Struthio camelus: one gene and its partner. The protein of the gene in region 2 interacts with the protein of the main gene of each other region in a pairwise test. Links are inferred from orthologs where the notes say so. Each region holds a gene or a part of one and is shown on either strand. Other genes may lie near its edges.

Region 1 (8,007 bases), on a different chromosome or scaffold from region 2:
AAGAAAGAGAAATTCCCTTTTCTCTAAAACCTCTTTAGACTTTGTTAGCTCAGACAAAAATATACAGACGCTGGGCAAGCCCTGCTAGTACAGACTGACCCCATAACTAGCTCTCCCTCCCATCCCCGTTAGACTGTGTCCACATAATACTGCATCGCTCTAAATTGACAGCACAAACTACTGCTGGCATCGTATGCATCACAAAAATGTTTCTCGGGGAAGTGCTGGCCTGATTCTCTGCTCTGGGCCATCACCTCCCTCCCAGAAAGTCACTACAAAGGTTGTTCGATGCCACCGTCCAGGTCCCGCTGCGGGCGCTGACATTTGCCATTTGGCCAGACACCAGCGGCAGCGTGAAGATCTGCCCGCTGCTGGATCCGGCGAGGCTGGCGGCAGGATTTTTGGGAGCGCATGGGGCTCTTTCCTCAAAACCGGTCCCTGGGGCGAGCTCCTGGGATCCACCGAGAAGTCCGCGATGCTCCGTGGCCTCCCGCTGCTACCAGAAGGTCCAGGGGGGCTGCATCATTTCATACGTCGGGATGCTGGTGACGTTGACGGGGATGGAGATGACAGCCCATGGGAGCCCATGCTGTTCCAGGGAGCGCCGGATCATGTACCTGGAAGGACAGAGAGGTGACAGGCGCATGTGAGCCCCTGAGCTGGGAGAGCAGAGCCTGAACGTTATGGGTTAACGCAAGCTGCCAATAAACTCGAGGAGAAACTCCGTGGATTAAGCATGACTGAATCCATGGAAAATCTGGCTCACAAAGCCCAGACAGGACACACGGCTCACTGGGACCCCTCTGGTTCATGGGGACAAGGCTGTCACTTGGCCCTTCCCACGAGATGCTCTACACTTGGGAAGATCAGAGCATTGGGTGACCAGAACTGGATCTCAAAAGGCAAGGCTGTCTCTTGGAAAGGCTGATGTACACCAGGAAAACGCTGCACAGCGTCCGGGGTGGCACGGAGACCTGCCGGTCGCAGGTAGGCCATCCAAACCAGATCTGCTCTCAGAACCAGCCTCATGCCAGCCCAGATGCCTCCAGCCTCCTAAGAGAGCTGTGGCACGCACGGAGCTAACGCAGCTACCTGGACACCGCAGCAGGTTCGCGGCCGGCCGGCTAAAACCCGCTGAACCCACGTGCGCCTACCTCCGCAGCGCCGTGCCCGAAGACACGTCCCTCGGCCACGATACCCACCCGTCCCTGCCCAGCAGGAAGAGCGCGGGGATGTCCGCTGTGCGCCTGGTGCTGTCCTGGATCATTTCGATATAGAAGCTGTCGTTATCGTAGGCGTTATCGGCGATAATCACCGCCCGTCCTCCGTGCTCCTGGATCACGCGCGTCTTCGACAGGAACGAGCAGCCCCTGGGGCACAGAGCCACAAACGTTGTCTACAGACGTGGGAGCCGGGCACCTCTCAGACAGCAAGTGCCGGAGCTTGCCCGGAGACGCCCAAGACGCGGGCTGGCTCCCCGGCACCGCGCGTCCCCCAAGCCCTTTTCATCCTTGAGACCGGATTTTAGCAACAGGACTGCCCAAACTGTGCTGGTGGGCTGCTTTCTCCCCCAAAATAAGGCTTTTTCCAGCTTGGCGTAGGCTCTTTTCCAAAAGACTGTCGGGACAGCTTTGCAACCCGGGGAAGCAGCTGGAGGCGACGGTAAAACGTGGCTGCTAACACAACCGTGGCACCGTCACCCTCCGTGCCGCAGGCAGCCCCCTCCTGCCCTGGGTGCCCCCCACCCAAAGAGGTCCCGCGGCGCCGGACCTACCCCCGCTCCACCAAGGCGATCTGGTCTTGGATGAAGACCCCATTATTCAGCTCCCCACAGGCTTCGGGCGGATCCGCCGGGACCAGGTGGATCTGGTCGTACCTTGTGTTCTCCGAGGAAGAGACAGGCAGGGGTGAGCGAGGAGGCCGGCGGCACGGCGCCGGGGCTGCTTCCCATCGCGAGCCCCGCGGCGCCTGTCCTCGGGGCCCCCGGGGAGCTGCTGTTCCCGTCCCCGCGCGGGATGTGCCGTGGGACCCCGCAGAGCCACCCGAGGGGAACCCGCAGACCTCGCTCAATAGCTCGCCCCCATCACCGTGGGGAGGGGAAACTGCGGCACGGCACCATCCGGTGAGTTGTGCGAGGCAGGGAACGGCGATAGAGGCTCTCGATGCCCAGCCCCGGGCTTTGCCCCGGATTGGGGCAGCCCCTTGGCAGGAGACGGGGAGCCCTTAGGGCTCCGGGAGCGCACGCGTGTGCGGACACGCATCCGTACGTACGAACGCTCCCAGGGAACGCGTGCGGAGGCAGAAACGCGTTCGCATGGCCCAGATCGAACGGGAGCACCTCTAACGGCAGAGACGGGCGCGTGCCTCCTGCCTAGGGCAAAGCTCTCGGAGGAAGCCCGTGCAATCAGCTCCACTTCGGTAAAGGGCTTCACATCAGCCAGCCCCGCAGCGCAGAAATGTAGGGACGGGGGGGCTCCGAGACAAATCCGGTCCTTATACTTACAAACACTCCCCCAAAATCCTTGGCCGGAGTGGCAGTGAAGATGTAGCGGATGTCTCCGGGACTCAGCACTTGGAAATACAAGTATTCATGGATGCGTAAACCTGCGCGTGCACGGAGAGAGATGAGAGGCAAAGAAACGGCAACGGCAAACTCCTCCCGTGAGATTTCAAGCCGAACGCGCAGTCACAGCCTTGAGATGTGGTTCATCCCGGGGACCCTCTTTTTTTAACCCATTTTCACACCGGTTTGCAGGCCCGGAGATGCAGCGCCGGGGAAGGACCCTTGGCACCAGGGCTGCAGCTGCTGCACAACCAGCGCTTGCGAACTGCAGAAGGCCCTGAGTGCCGCGGGGAACCGAAATTGTTTCGGGAGTTCCCGGCACGCTTTCATCCAGGCACCCGGCTCAACGCCCACTGCTGCGGGTCGAGCGCGACACGAGACCTCCCTCTGCAGCCTTGCGTAACGCCGGCTGCGTGCCGGGCTCCACGGCGGGAGGAGGACCCGAACCACTGCTGTCGGAGCTGGGTGCGTCGTGCCGGGGCCTTTTCCCATCTTAAACCACTGCTTGGTCCCGACACCCAGCGCCCTGGGCCTCTCTCACGTGGGGTTTCCCCCTTCTGTAAACCGCCGGCAATTCAGACAGCTCCCTGCCTCAATTTCCCTCTATAAGGAAAGAAGATTTTATGTGATAAAAAAATGCAAAGCCTCGCCGCGCAGGCGGATAGCTCGGCCGATGGCCCACGACCTCCTGCGCTGTTTGGGCAGCCGATGCACAAGAAATGAGACATTCGGGCAGGATGCAAAGTCGGGGCCAGGCAGCGAATGCTTTAGGGCCAGCAGCCCCTCGGGGCCGTGCGAACACCTGCAAAGGGCGCTGGGGCGTTGCTGGCGGAGGGCAGAGCGAGGGGACTCTGCTGCCTCCCCGCAGCCTCTTACCCCGGAGCCAGCTGCCTTCCTGCCTCCAGCGGCTCTGTCCTGAGCATGCAAGGAAAAGCATCCGGGTTGGGGTGCCCCAAGGGAAAATATACCGGATCGAGGTGCTGGGAGGAGAAACGGAGTGCACAGAGGAGACGGGGGAAATGCATGCAGACTGGGGTGCACAAAAAGGGGAAATGAACCCGGATCTCCTAGGGGACAGGAGTGAAGTGCATTTGATCACGGCGCTGGGTAGGTGAAATGCACCCGGACCCAAGTGCCTCAAGGGCAAATGCACCCAGTGTGGGATGTCCCAAGGATAAATGCACCTGGATCGGGGTGCACGGAGGGGAAAGGGAGAAAATGCACTCGGATCATGGAGGGGCTAGGGGTGAAATGCACCTGGACTGGGGAGAACAGAGGGGAAATGCACCCGGATCGAGGTGTCAGGAGGAGAAATGCACCTGAACCTGGGTGCATGGAGGGGAAATGCACCCAGACTGGGATGCATGGAATGGAAATGCATCCAAATTAGGATGCCTCAAGGGAAGATGGACCTGGATCGAGTTGTCAGGAGGGGAAAATGCATCCGGACTTGGATGCATGGAGGGGAAATGCCCCCGGAAGGAGGTGCCAGGAGGAGAAATGCACGGAGACAGGGACGCACAGTGGGGAAATGCATCCAGTTCAGGATGCCCAAGGGGAAATGCACCCGGATCGAAGTGCATCAAGAAGAAATGCACCCGGATCGAAGTGCATCAAGAGGAAATGCACCCGGATCGAGATGCATGGAGGGGAAATGCACCTAGATTGGGGTGTTCCAGGGGGAAATGCACCCAGATCGAAGGTGCTGGGAAGGGAAATGCACCCAGACCGGGATGCACGGAGGGAAAATGCACCCAGATTGGGATGCACAAGGGGAAAGGCACCCAGACCGGGATGCACGGAGAGGAAATGCACCCAGATTGGGATGCACAAGGGGAAAGGCACCCAGACCGGGATGCACGGAGGGGAAATGCACCCAGATTGGGATGCACAAGGGGAAATGCACCCAGACCGGGATGCACGGAGAGGAAATGCACCCAGATTGGGATGCACAAGGGGAAATGCACCCAGACCGGGATGCACGGAGAGGAAATGCACCCAGATTGGGATGCACAAGGGGAAAGGCACCCAGACCGGGATGCACGGAGGGGAAAGGCACCCGGATAAGGGTGCCCGAGAGGGAAATGCACCCGGGCGCAGGGCAGGCGGACGGGCGGCGCGGGGGGAAGCGACCGCGGGCCGGACTCACCGCGGGCCGGGCAGGAGCAGAGGCAGAGGCAGAGCCAGAGCGAGCGGCGGAGCATGGCTGCGCCCCGCGCCGCGCCGCGCCGCTCCCCCGCCCCCGCCTCCGCGCCGCGCCCATTGGCGGCGCCCCCCCGCGCCGCGCGCGCCCATTGGCCAACGCCGCCGTCAATCCCGCCCCTGCCATCTAGTGAGCTGCGGGCCGCCGCGCCGCCGCACGTTGCTGCCTCTCTATGGTTTCTCGCGAAGGAAGGGAGCCTCGCTCGGGCGGCTCTGTCTACGGCCTCACCATGGAGTGCGGCCGGAAGCGGTTACCTAGCAACGCTCTCTTCCCCTCCCGCCCTCGGGAAGCTTCTGGGCGGGCGCGGGGCATTGTGGGAGCAGGGCCTGGCTGCGCCGGGGGAGAGCCGCCGAGATGATGGTGAGTGGCGCCCGCCTCATCCGCCGCCATCCTCTGCCTGGCAGCGGCCTCCTCCGCCCCCGGGGGCCGTTGCTGGCGGGGGTTAGTAACGGGGCCGGCGCGGGTTCAGCCCCCGGTGAGGGCGGCCCCGCCGCTGTCTTGTGAGGGGACCAGCCGGGCCCGTGAGTGGCCCGCGGTTGCCGCCGGGCTGCCGCGGGACTACCGCTCCCATCAGGCTTTGCGCGGCGAGCGCCGCGGCTGAAAGGGAGCGGGGCGCGCGGGGCAGGCCGGGAGCTGTAGTCTGTCGGCGCGTGTACAAGGGTGGTGTCCCGGCCCTGGGGCCCGGAGCCGAGCCCACCGGGCTGGGGTCGGGGCTCAGAGCGGCCCATGCTGGGAGTTGTAGGCCGGAGCGGGCGGTACGTGGCGCCCCGGGGCCTCAAGTCGGGGCCTGAGCTCGGCAGCCCGCTTCGGGGCGTGGAGGGACCCGGTGCTGCCCCGGTCCGTGCTGAGTCCTGCCTGTGCCCTGCCGGTGCTGCTCCACGAGGGTTGCGTGTCTGCCTCTAACCTGATTTTCCCTAGGATGCAATCGACTCTGTTCCCTTTAGATTTCTGTTCGGGAGCTTGCCAAGGCTTAGGTAGCTCTGGCTGCGGTGCTCGCGCCCGTCTTCCGCTCGCCCGTCAGGCCCTCGGCTCCGGTCTTGTTGCTCTTTAGCACAACGGTCATCGTACGGTTTTGCTCTCTGCTGCAGATGGCTCTTTAAAACTGAGCGCCGAAGAAGCTTCTGGTTCGTGTGGATTTTGAGCTTTGTCTTTAAGGCACGTTTAGTCCGTTTCCTAGAAATCCTGAAAAGGGCTGCTGCGCTCTTGGAGCACAGCAAAGAGCTGTTTGCCGTGGCCTTTGAAATCTTGTAGGCTTTGCTTGTATTTCTAAGCTGTGTCCAGTTCAGTTTACTGTCAGGCAGGTGCAGTCACTTGTGTTCATCCCCCCTGTTTCCTCTGCGAGCAGGGAGGTGCGTTGCAGCAGTTGCCATCCTTGGGGTAGCTTGGACTGTGATCTGAGAGCTCTTGCGCCTGTTGTGCTGTACATCTTAGGAGACTTAAGTAACTCATCTGGGTTGTAGCTTGTGCAGTTCCCTGCTGCCTCAGTAATTATTACACATACTGTCTCTTATGGTGTAGAGATCAAGCGTAGCACAGAAATTAGACCTTCTCTGAGCTATATGATGGGGAAAGAAGCCCGCTTGTTTTGTGGACAGTTACAATACAGTCCAAGGGCATACAAACAGAAGCAGTTGGGTAGATTCCAGTTACTTTATAGAAGCAAGTGACACCTTGCCTTGGAGCGGTTTGACTGCATCCGTAATGCTTTCTAGGTAAAGTTGAACCTTCAGCCTTTCATGGAAAAGTGCTCTAGTACATTTCTTTGAAGCTACAGGAGTTCAGTCAAGATAAAACTTCAAACAAACACGGAATGCTTGAGAACGTGGAAGTAAACTTTTAGAGGAATTGCTTTGTGTAACAGTGGCAGTTTGTGGCCTTCTCTCTCTCAGGTTTTTTTGTAGTCACAGTCTTACTTTGAAGCTCTAGGCGGGTCAATAAGCTCAGTAAAGCAAGATGCTTAGGGATTGGGATTTTTTTTGTTTTATTTTTGCCACCAGGCCTTTGAGGGAACTGCAGTTTTTGGTCTTGGGAGTGAGAGAGCTGTTGTGCAGCTAGTTTCTTGCATAGGGGAAAAATACCTTTTTGAGCAGCGATAACTTGCTGGGCTGCCTGCAGAGTTAGCACTGGGCTGTCTGAGATTGGAGTTACAGCTCTGCTGTGGTTTGTCTCTTCAGCCAACACCCGTTATCCTGCTGAAGGAGGGCACGGACACCTCACAGGGGATCCCCCAGCTCGTCAGTAACATCAATGCCTGCCAGGTTATCGCAGAAGCTGTGCGCACTACCCTAGGACCCAGGGGCATGGACAAGCTCATTGTGGATGACAGAGGTAAGCGCTGGGTGACAGCTTTTCACGGCTATGTAGAAACGTGACTCGGAAATAATCTCCAAGTGTAACGCACACTGCTGGCACGTGTTTTTTTGCAGCCAGGGGCTAGAGCATGCAGAATGCAAACAAACGGACTTGGATGTTGTACTGTTCATGGGAATTCTGCAGTGAAATTTGATTCATACCTTCATATTAATTAAAACAGTATTTGCATATATACAGACTTCAGCTTCGTTGCCGCTTGCTATTCTCAACTCTCATAATACAGAGGTTCAGTTTCTGCATCAATGTTCAGTTTGAAACCTAGATCCCAGCCGCAGCTGGTGAAGAAAAATAATTGACAGATTTACTTGAGGAAACTACCTGGTAGTTACCTACTAGACTGAGTTAAGGTAGCTGAATTCTTTCTTGTGGTACTAGATAGATCTAGGGTTAGCATGACTAGACGGGCAGAAGTCCATGCCAGAAAGGAGGAATGGTGTGTTTTGAAGCTAGTCTTTGGGTACCCCTGACCCTCTCTTTCTAGGTTTGTTTTAAGATGAGGCTCGTGACACATGTAGAGTTACTCAGCTCTTGGTATGACTGAGTGTGGGGTGGATGGGGGTTACTAGGGTTGATGTTTGGGTGAATTGGGGATGGCTCCCAGCCCCCTCTGAGAAGAATTGTGTTAAGTTGCCACGCTAATCTATTCCTTGCACTTTTTTTTATTCTTGTGTGAATTGTCCTTGTATTACAGGTCCTATCTGTAAAAGCAGTTATTTGTTTTAAAAAGGATCACTGAAGTTTTATTTTAGCTTAATAACTAATTCTGTTGATTTCTAGCACTTTTCAGTCATGTGTCAGACTAGAATATCTGAGAGAGATGTGTATATATATACATATAATTTTTAATCTGCATGGGGAGGCTATTGAG
Region 2 (7,134 bases):
CGCCGCCTCGGCCCCCGGCGCCGCCGCCACCTCGGCCCCCGGCGCCGCCGCCGCCTCGGGGGGGGCCGCCCCCTCGCAGCGCTCGGGCCGCCGCGCCGCCGGCCCCGCCGCCGGGGGTCCCGGGGCCGCCCCGGCCCGCCGGTGCTCGCGGGCCTGCGAGAGGGCGGCCTGGGCGTTGAGCGCTGCGGGGTGCCGGCGTCAGCGGGGCCGGATCCCCCTCAACCCCTCCGCATCCCCCCCAAGGCCTCCAGATTCCCCTCCAACCCCTCCGGATCCCCTCCAACCCCTCCGGATCCCCCTCAACCCCTCCAGATCCCCCCCAAGCCCTCCGGATCCCCCTCAACCCCTCTGGATTCCCCCTCAACCCCTCCGGATTCCCCTCCAACCCCTCCGGATTCCCCCCAACCCCTCCGGATTCCCCTCCAACCCCTCCGGATCCCCCCCAACCCCTCCGGATCCCCCCCCAACCCCTCCGGATCCCCCTCAACCCCTCCAGATCCCCCCCAAGCCCTCCGGATTCCCCTCCAACCCCTCCGGATCCCCCCCAAGCCCTCCGGATTCCTCTCCAACCCCTCCGGATTCCCCCCAACCCCTCCGGATCCCCCCCAAGCCCTCCAGATTCCCCTCCAACCCCTCCGGATCCCCCCCAACCCCTCCGGATTCCTCTCCAACCCCTCCGGATTCCCCCCAACCCCTCCGGATCCCCCCCAAGCCCTCCAGATTCCCCTCCAACCCCTCCGGATCCCCCCCAAGGCCTCTGGATTCCTCTCCAACCCCTCCGGATTCCCCTCAACCCCTCCGGATTCCCCCCCAACCCCTCCGGATCCCCCCCAAGCCCTCCGGATTCCTCTCCAACCCCTCCGGATTCCCCCCAAGCCCTCTGGATTCCCCCCCAACCCCTCCGGATTCCCCTCAACCCCTCCGGATCCCCCCCAAGCCCTCTGGATCCCCTCCAACCCCTCCAGATTCCCCCCAAGCCCTCCGGATCCCCCCCAACCCCTCTGGATTCCCCCGGCCCCGTTCCCACATCCCAGTCGCCAATTCCCGTCCCCAAGTGCAGCCCTGGCCCCAAGTCCTGCCCCCCTTCCCCATCCCCAGACCTCCGGCCCCTTCCCCAGTTCTTGTCCCCAACCCCAAATCCAGTCCCCAGCCCCCCCCAGCCCTAAGCCCCCATCCCCTCTCCCCAATTCCTCTCCCCAGTTCCCATCTCCAGCCCCTAGCCCTAAACCTCCATCCCCTTTCCCCAATTCCTCTCCCCTCTCCCCAATTCCCATCTCCTCTCCCCAATTCCCGTCCCCAGCCCCCACCTCCAGACTCCCGTCCCGGTTCCCATCCCTGGATCCCCGTCCCCAATTCCTATCCCCAGTCCCCAACCCCAGTCCTAGACCCCCAGCCCCCACTTCCTGCCCCCCTCCCCGGTCCCAGACCCCTGTCCCCAGTCCCCAATTCCCGTCCCCAGCCCCGGACCCCCGTCCCCGTCCGTACCGGGGTCGTCCTTGTCCACGTCGGAGTCCAGCTCCTGGCAGGCCACGCAGTAGAGCTGCTGCTGCTTGTTCTGCAGCAGGATGGTCTGGGGGGGGGGGGTGAGTGCATGCGGGCCCCCCGGTGCCCCCCCAGCCCCCCTGGTGTCCCCCCCGGACCCCTCGGTGCTCCCCGTACCCCGCAGTCCGGGCAGCACTGCCCCAGCATGCGGTACCCCCAAGGCAGGACGGGCCGGGGGGCAGCAGGGAGCGTGTGTGACCCCCCCGGTGCCCCCCCGGACCCCTCAGTGCCCCCCCCGGACCCCCCGGTGCCCCCCCCAGACCCCACAGTCCGGGCAGCACTGCCCCAGCATGCAGTACCCCCACAGCAGGATGGGCCGGGGGGCAGCGAGGAGTGTGTGTGACCCCCCCCGGTGCCCCCCCCGGCCCCCCCCGTACCCCGCAGTCCGGGCAGCACTGCCCCAGCATGCAGTACCCCCACAGCAGGACGGGCCGGGGGGCAGCGGGGAGTGTGTGTGACCCCCCTGGTGCCCCCCCGGACCCCTCAGTGCCCCCCCACACCCCCGGTGCCCCCCCCGGCCCCCCCGTACCCCGCAGTCCGGGCAGCACTGCCCCAGCATGCGGTACCCCCGCAGCAGGTACTCCCCCATGGCGTGGCTGATGCGCTCCTGCCGCTCCCGCCGCGCCGCCAGCACCTTCCGCTCGGCCTCCGGCGGCGGCTCCCACTCGGGCTCCGACGCCCCTGTGGGGACACGGCCACGGGGGGGGGAACGCTGTCACGGGGGACGCGGTTGCGGGTGGGGGGGCTGGACGCGGGGGCGCAGTCACAGGTGGGACACAGTCATGGGGGGCACGGGGACACCATGGGGGGGAGCACAGTCACCGGGGGACACTGGGAGGCGATCACGAGTGGGACGCGGCCACGGGGGGGTGAAGAGGGACCGTTGGGGGGGACACGACCACTGGGGGTCTGGTCACGAGGGATGCAATCACGGGTGGTGGTGAGGACGCAGGGGGCCGTGGGGACACGGTCAAAGGCAGGGCGCGGTCACGGGGGGCACGGGGACACCGTCGGGGGGAACACGGTCACCGGGGCACACAGGGACGCGGTCACGCGTGGGACGTGGCCATGGGGGCAGGCGGCCACGGGTGGGGGCGAGGAGGGACCGTTGCGGGGGGGGACACGGCCACGAGGGGGGTCTGGTCACGGGGGATGCGGTCGCGGGGGGATGGGGACGCTTTAATGGCGCGGACGGTCACGCGGGGGGGGCGCCACGGTCACGGCGGGGGCGCCGAGGCGCTGGGAGACCCCCGTCCCGGCAGGGGCTGGCTGTGAGGGGGCCCCACGGGCCCCGGGGGGAGGGACACGGGCACCCGCGGGGGCTCCACGGCCGCTCTAGGGGCCCGGGGGGGGGGGGGGGGCCCGCCGCCGCCGCCCGCACCCGCGTTCAGCGCCATGTTCCGCTCCCCGCCGGAAGTGACGTCACCGCACGGGTCCGGCCGGGAAAGCGGCCCCGGCGGGCAGGTCCGGTCGTGAAATGGTTCCCCCCGGCCCCGGGGGACCGAGACGTCCGGTCCGTTCCCCCCCCCCCCCCCGCAAGAGGAGAAGTAACCGGTGCTGCTGGGAGCTAAGACCCCCCCCAAACCCCCTCTCAGGGGACACAGGCATCCAGGAGAGCCCCCCCACTAGCCCTCCCAGGGGACCAAGGCAGCTAGGAGAGCCCCCCCCCCAAATACCCCAGCATCCAGCCCCCCCCTCACTACCCCTCTCAGGGGACCTAGGCAGTTAGGAGCCCCCCCCCCAAATACCCCAGCATCCAGCCCCCCCCTCACTACCCCTCTCAGGGGACCTAGGCAGCTAGGAGCCCCCCCCCCAAATACCCCAGCATCCAGGCCCCCCCCCACTACCCCTCTCAGGGGACCTAGGCAGCTAGGAGCCCCCCTCTCCCCCCCAAAAAACCCCAGCATCCAGGCCCCCCCTCACTACCCCTCTCAGGGGACCTAGGCAGCTAGGAGCCCCCTCTCCCCAAATACTCCAGCAGCCAGGACCCTCCCCCTTCACCTAACAGCCCCTCCCAGGGGACTGAGGCATCTAGGAGAGCCCCCCCCAAGACCCACCGATCCCCTCCCCTTATTGCCCCCCCAGCACCCAGGCACAGAGGGGTTCCCCCCCCCCAAACACCCCCTCCCCACCAAGCAAGAGGGGACCAAGCGCGTCCGTGGGAAACGTTTTATTTTTGCTGGAAAAGCCGAAGGGGTGGGGGGGGGAAGCTGGGGGGGGGGGGGAGGCTGTAAAGGACACAGCATCTACGGGGGGGGGTTGGATGGGGGGGGGCAGCGGCGGCAGACAGCCCCGCGGGGGCGAGTTACCTGGAAGACAGCGAGCCCGCGGCGGGGCCGGCGGGGCGCCGGGGTGGGAGTTAAATTAGGGGCTGGGGGAAGAGATTTGGGGGGGGGGGGTGCCGCAGCGGGACCGAGACGCGGGAACCTCCGTAAAAAACAAACAACAAAAAAAAAAGCACAGGGCGGCGGCGCCCCGGAGCCCGCGGCGGGTGGGCGGGCGGGCGGGCGAGCGGGTGCGGGGGGGTCCGGCCGAACGCTTCCGCCCCGGCGCACGCGACCTGGAAGAAAGCACAGCAGAGGGTCAGGGGCTGGCGGGAGGAGGTGGGGGGAGGAGGAGGAGGAGGAGGAGGAGGAAGGGGGCGGGGGGCCACAGCCCCCCAGCCGGGCGCCGCTCTCCGCCCTGGTTCCTGCGGGGCGGCAGCGGCGGCTCGACCCCGAGCCGTACGGGCGCGTTGGGGGGGGGGGGGCTTTCAGCCCCCAACCGCCGGGGTTGGGGGGGGGGGGCCATGCCGCAGGGGCTGGCGTTGGCCGCCGGCTTCGCGCCCGCCTTTTTCCCCCCCCGCTCCCCGCTGGGCCGGAGGGGGCCGCGCGCCGCGGTCGAGCGCGAGGTTTTGGGGTTTTGGGGGGGGGGGGGGGCGAGGGAGAGGAGCTGTTTCTGTGCGAGGCGAGACCCGCGGCGGCGGCGGCGGCCCGGGGCACGTCTAACCTGACGCTGCACCGTCCGCTGCGGCTACGGACCAGAACGAGAGCTCCGCCAAGCCTCCGAGGGCCGTTGGGTGCCGCTCTCCAATGCCGCGGCAAAAGTCTCTGCCATTCCTAGCGTACGGGGAAAGCCCAGAGCCGCTTCCTCGGGGAGGGATTTTCCTGCCAAGCTTCTTCCTCTTTGGGGTCACATCCTGGGAGATTAAGGCCTATTACAACCGGGCTACGGGGCCGAGCGTGGGGCCGGGGCAGGCAGCGCGGCTGTTCCAGCACGGAGGAAGAGACCGGCAGCGGGTGTAAGGCTCCAGCGAGGGCTGCTGCGTTGCAGCGGCAGAGCCGGGGGGCTCGGGGTCGGGGGGAGGAGGAAGAGGAGGAGGACGTGCCCTCTGCGGCCGAGTTGCCCAGCCGGCGTGCCGGGGAGGCAGATGGGAGCGCGGCGGCCCGTTTCGGGGCGGGGAGTCGGGCTACGGCGCCGCAGCGGCCTCGGGAGAGGGCGGCGTCGCAAAGAGGAGCCGGGACGGGCCCCGCAGCGGCCGCAGGAAGGCGCCCCGGCCGCGCCGCCCCGCGCGGAGGCTGCTCCGGCCCCGCCGCGCCGCCTCGGTTTCTAGCTGAGCTGCGGAGCTGGGGCGGGAGGGCAGGGAGCGACCGCCGGGCTCGAGAAACCCCCCATCCCCAGCGCCCGGCCGGGGCTCGGCCCCGCGCGGCGGCGAACGCCGCGGAGAATGGGCCGGGAGTCGCCAGGCTCCTGCCGCCGCCGCCGCCGCTCGCTTTGGGAGCTGGGTGAGCGGCGGCCCCTCGCGCGCTCGCACGCGCGACCCCCGAGCTGGCGCCGGGGCGGCCCCGACCGCCCGCAGCGCGCGCCCGCGCGCCTCCTGCAACCCACAACGCTCTCACCTCCGACTCAAAACGCAGAGTACCGCGCCCTGTCCGCGTACGGGTCCCGCTCGAACCGCTGCATGTCGTAGAGGGAGGCCCGAGCGACCGACGAGACCGGCGACAGCTGACTACGATCGTAAGTGTACGCCTCTCCGACGGTGGTGGCCGCGGCTGCCGTGCGGCGCAGGGGGCTTCTATCCCGGGTGTAATAGGTGGAGGAGGCGGCCGCCGCGGCCGCGGTGGCGGCGGCGGCCACGGCGGCTGCCGCTCCCGGGGTCGGCAGCAGAGCTCTATCGTACGCGTCTAGGGTGGTGGGGATGCGACTGGCCATGGCTGTGGTGGCGGCCATGGCCGTGGACTGCACTTGGGAGTACTGCGCGTACTGCGAGTACTGGGCCATGGTCTGCTCTGCATAGGCGTCGTATGCAGAGGCCGTCGCATAGGACCTCACGCGGTAGCGCTTGTAGTAGTCGACCATTCCGCCATACCCGTCATCGTAATACATGGTCTCCCCATAGCCCGCGGGGTAGGGAGTGCGCACCGCTCCGTACTGCTCATTATAGGCCTCGGTAAAGTCAGCCACTTGCCCCGGGCGATCTACCGGACACTCTTTAGACCAGTGCCCTTCCTTCCCGCACCGGTAGCAGCCGCTCTTGTCTCCCATCCCGGGCGCGGTCCTGAGCCGACTCGTGGACAACTGCACGCGCATCCGCTTGCCTTTAAGAAACAGACGCAAGAAGGGTTGCTATAATTAACTGAGGCCACATAGGGAAACCAAGAGATTCACAGAAGAGCAAGAACCCAGCGAGACGTCTGAACCTACTGCCCCGGGTGAGGGGAGCCCGACCGGCGGCCGCCCCGCGCCGCTCCTCCGTGCGGCGCCGCCAGGGCCCGGGCAATCCCGGACCCGGCTCGCCGCCGCGCGCCTGCTCCGAATCCGGGCCCAAACCTGCGCCGGCGGTTACCGCTCTCCCGGCGGAGCCGGGCGGCCCCGGACCGCCCGCGAGGGACGGAGGCTCTGGATACCGCCCGCCTCTGCGCCCGTGGACGCAGCCGCGTGGCGCCGGGCAGCGCGCTCGGACACCCCGCGCCGCTCGCGACCCGCAAGGGGACGTGGAGCCAGAGGGAACCGGACCCGGAGGCGGCATGAAGCCGGGCTCGGCCCCTGGAGACGGGCTGGCCTGGGAAACAGCGTCGGAAAAAGGCTCTTGGGAAGGGAGCGAATAAACTCAACCCGTTCCACATCCCGCGGGGGGGCTGTGGGACTGACTGGGCTCATCTGCCTCGCTCGGACGCTGAGAGCAGCTTCCCGGGGCTTCCCACGCCTGACCTCGATGGGGAGAGCCCATCCCCGGCCTCCCGGCGGATGGCCACGAGCCGGGGAAGCGGAAGGCTTTAGAGGGAAGAGCTGCCAGCTGCGCCGTTGCGCAGCAGCCTCTCAGCTCCCCGGGGAGCGCAGCCACCTCCCACCACAGCCCCGGATCGCAGTGCCGGGTCGGGGCCACGCAGATAGGCAGCCGGGCTCCGCGGGCGGTGAGGGGGGGAGGAAGAGGGAGAGCAGGCTGCGAGGAAGGCCCCGGAGCAGAGCCGGAGCTGCGGGCGCCTAGGAATGGCCGGGGGAGCCCTGGCAAGAGGCCATTTACGGCAGCTCTGCCCCAGGAGGAAAACAAGGTGAGGAACTGCGCGGACCCAACTTCTCTCGGGGCTCTGCTTCGCTCGCGCGAGTTCGCTT

The links.
Region 1: the proteins of ZNRD2 (region 2) and CCT7 interact in binary tests that used the Homo sapiens proteins (3 or more experiments, as listed by UniProt). The two-hybrid records come from large-scale screens. The link is inferred for Struthio camelus from reciprocal best matches to the Homo sapiens genes ZNRD2 and CCT7.

The regions. Positions count from the first base shown.
Region 1 is NC_090945.1:85,476,984-85,484,990, reverse strand, and holds the start of CCT7 (T-complex protein 1 subunit eta), read left to right. Parts: upstream 1-5,002; 5' UTR 5,003-5,120; coding exon 5,121-5,126; intron 5,127-6,940; coding exon 6,941-7,094; intron 7,095-8,007. Other genes in the region: PRADC1 (protease-associated domain-containing protein 1), read right to left, coding at 497-617, 1,203-1,370, 1,775-1,884, 2,504-2,604, 4,713-4,767. UniProt on the Homo sapiens protein: Component of the chaperonin-containing T-complex (TRiC), a molecular chaperone complex that assists the folding of actin, tubulin and other proteins upon ATP hydrolysis.
Region 2 is NC_090976.1:385,633-392,766, forward strand, and holds the start of ZNRD2 (protein ZNRD2), read right to left. Parts: upstream 3,007-7,134; 5' UTR 2,940-3,006; coding exon 2,924-2,939; intron 2,224-2,923; coding exon 2,072-2,223; intron 1,571-2,071; coding exon 1,486-1,570; intron 183-1,485; coding exon 1-182. Other genes in the region: RNA-binding protein 4B, read right to left, coding at 5,428-6,119. UniProt on the Homo sapiens protein: Might play a role in mitosis. Antigenic molecule. Could be a centromere-associated protein. May induce anti-centromere antibodies.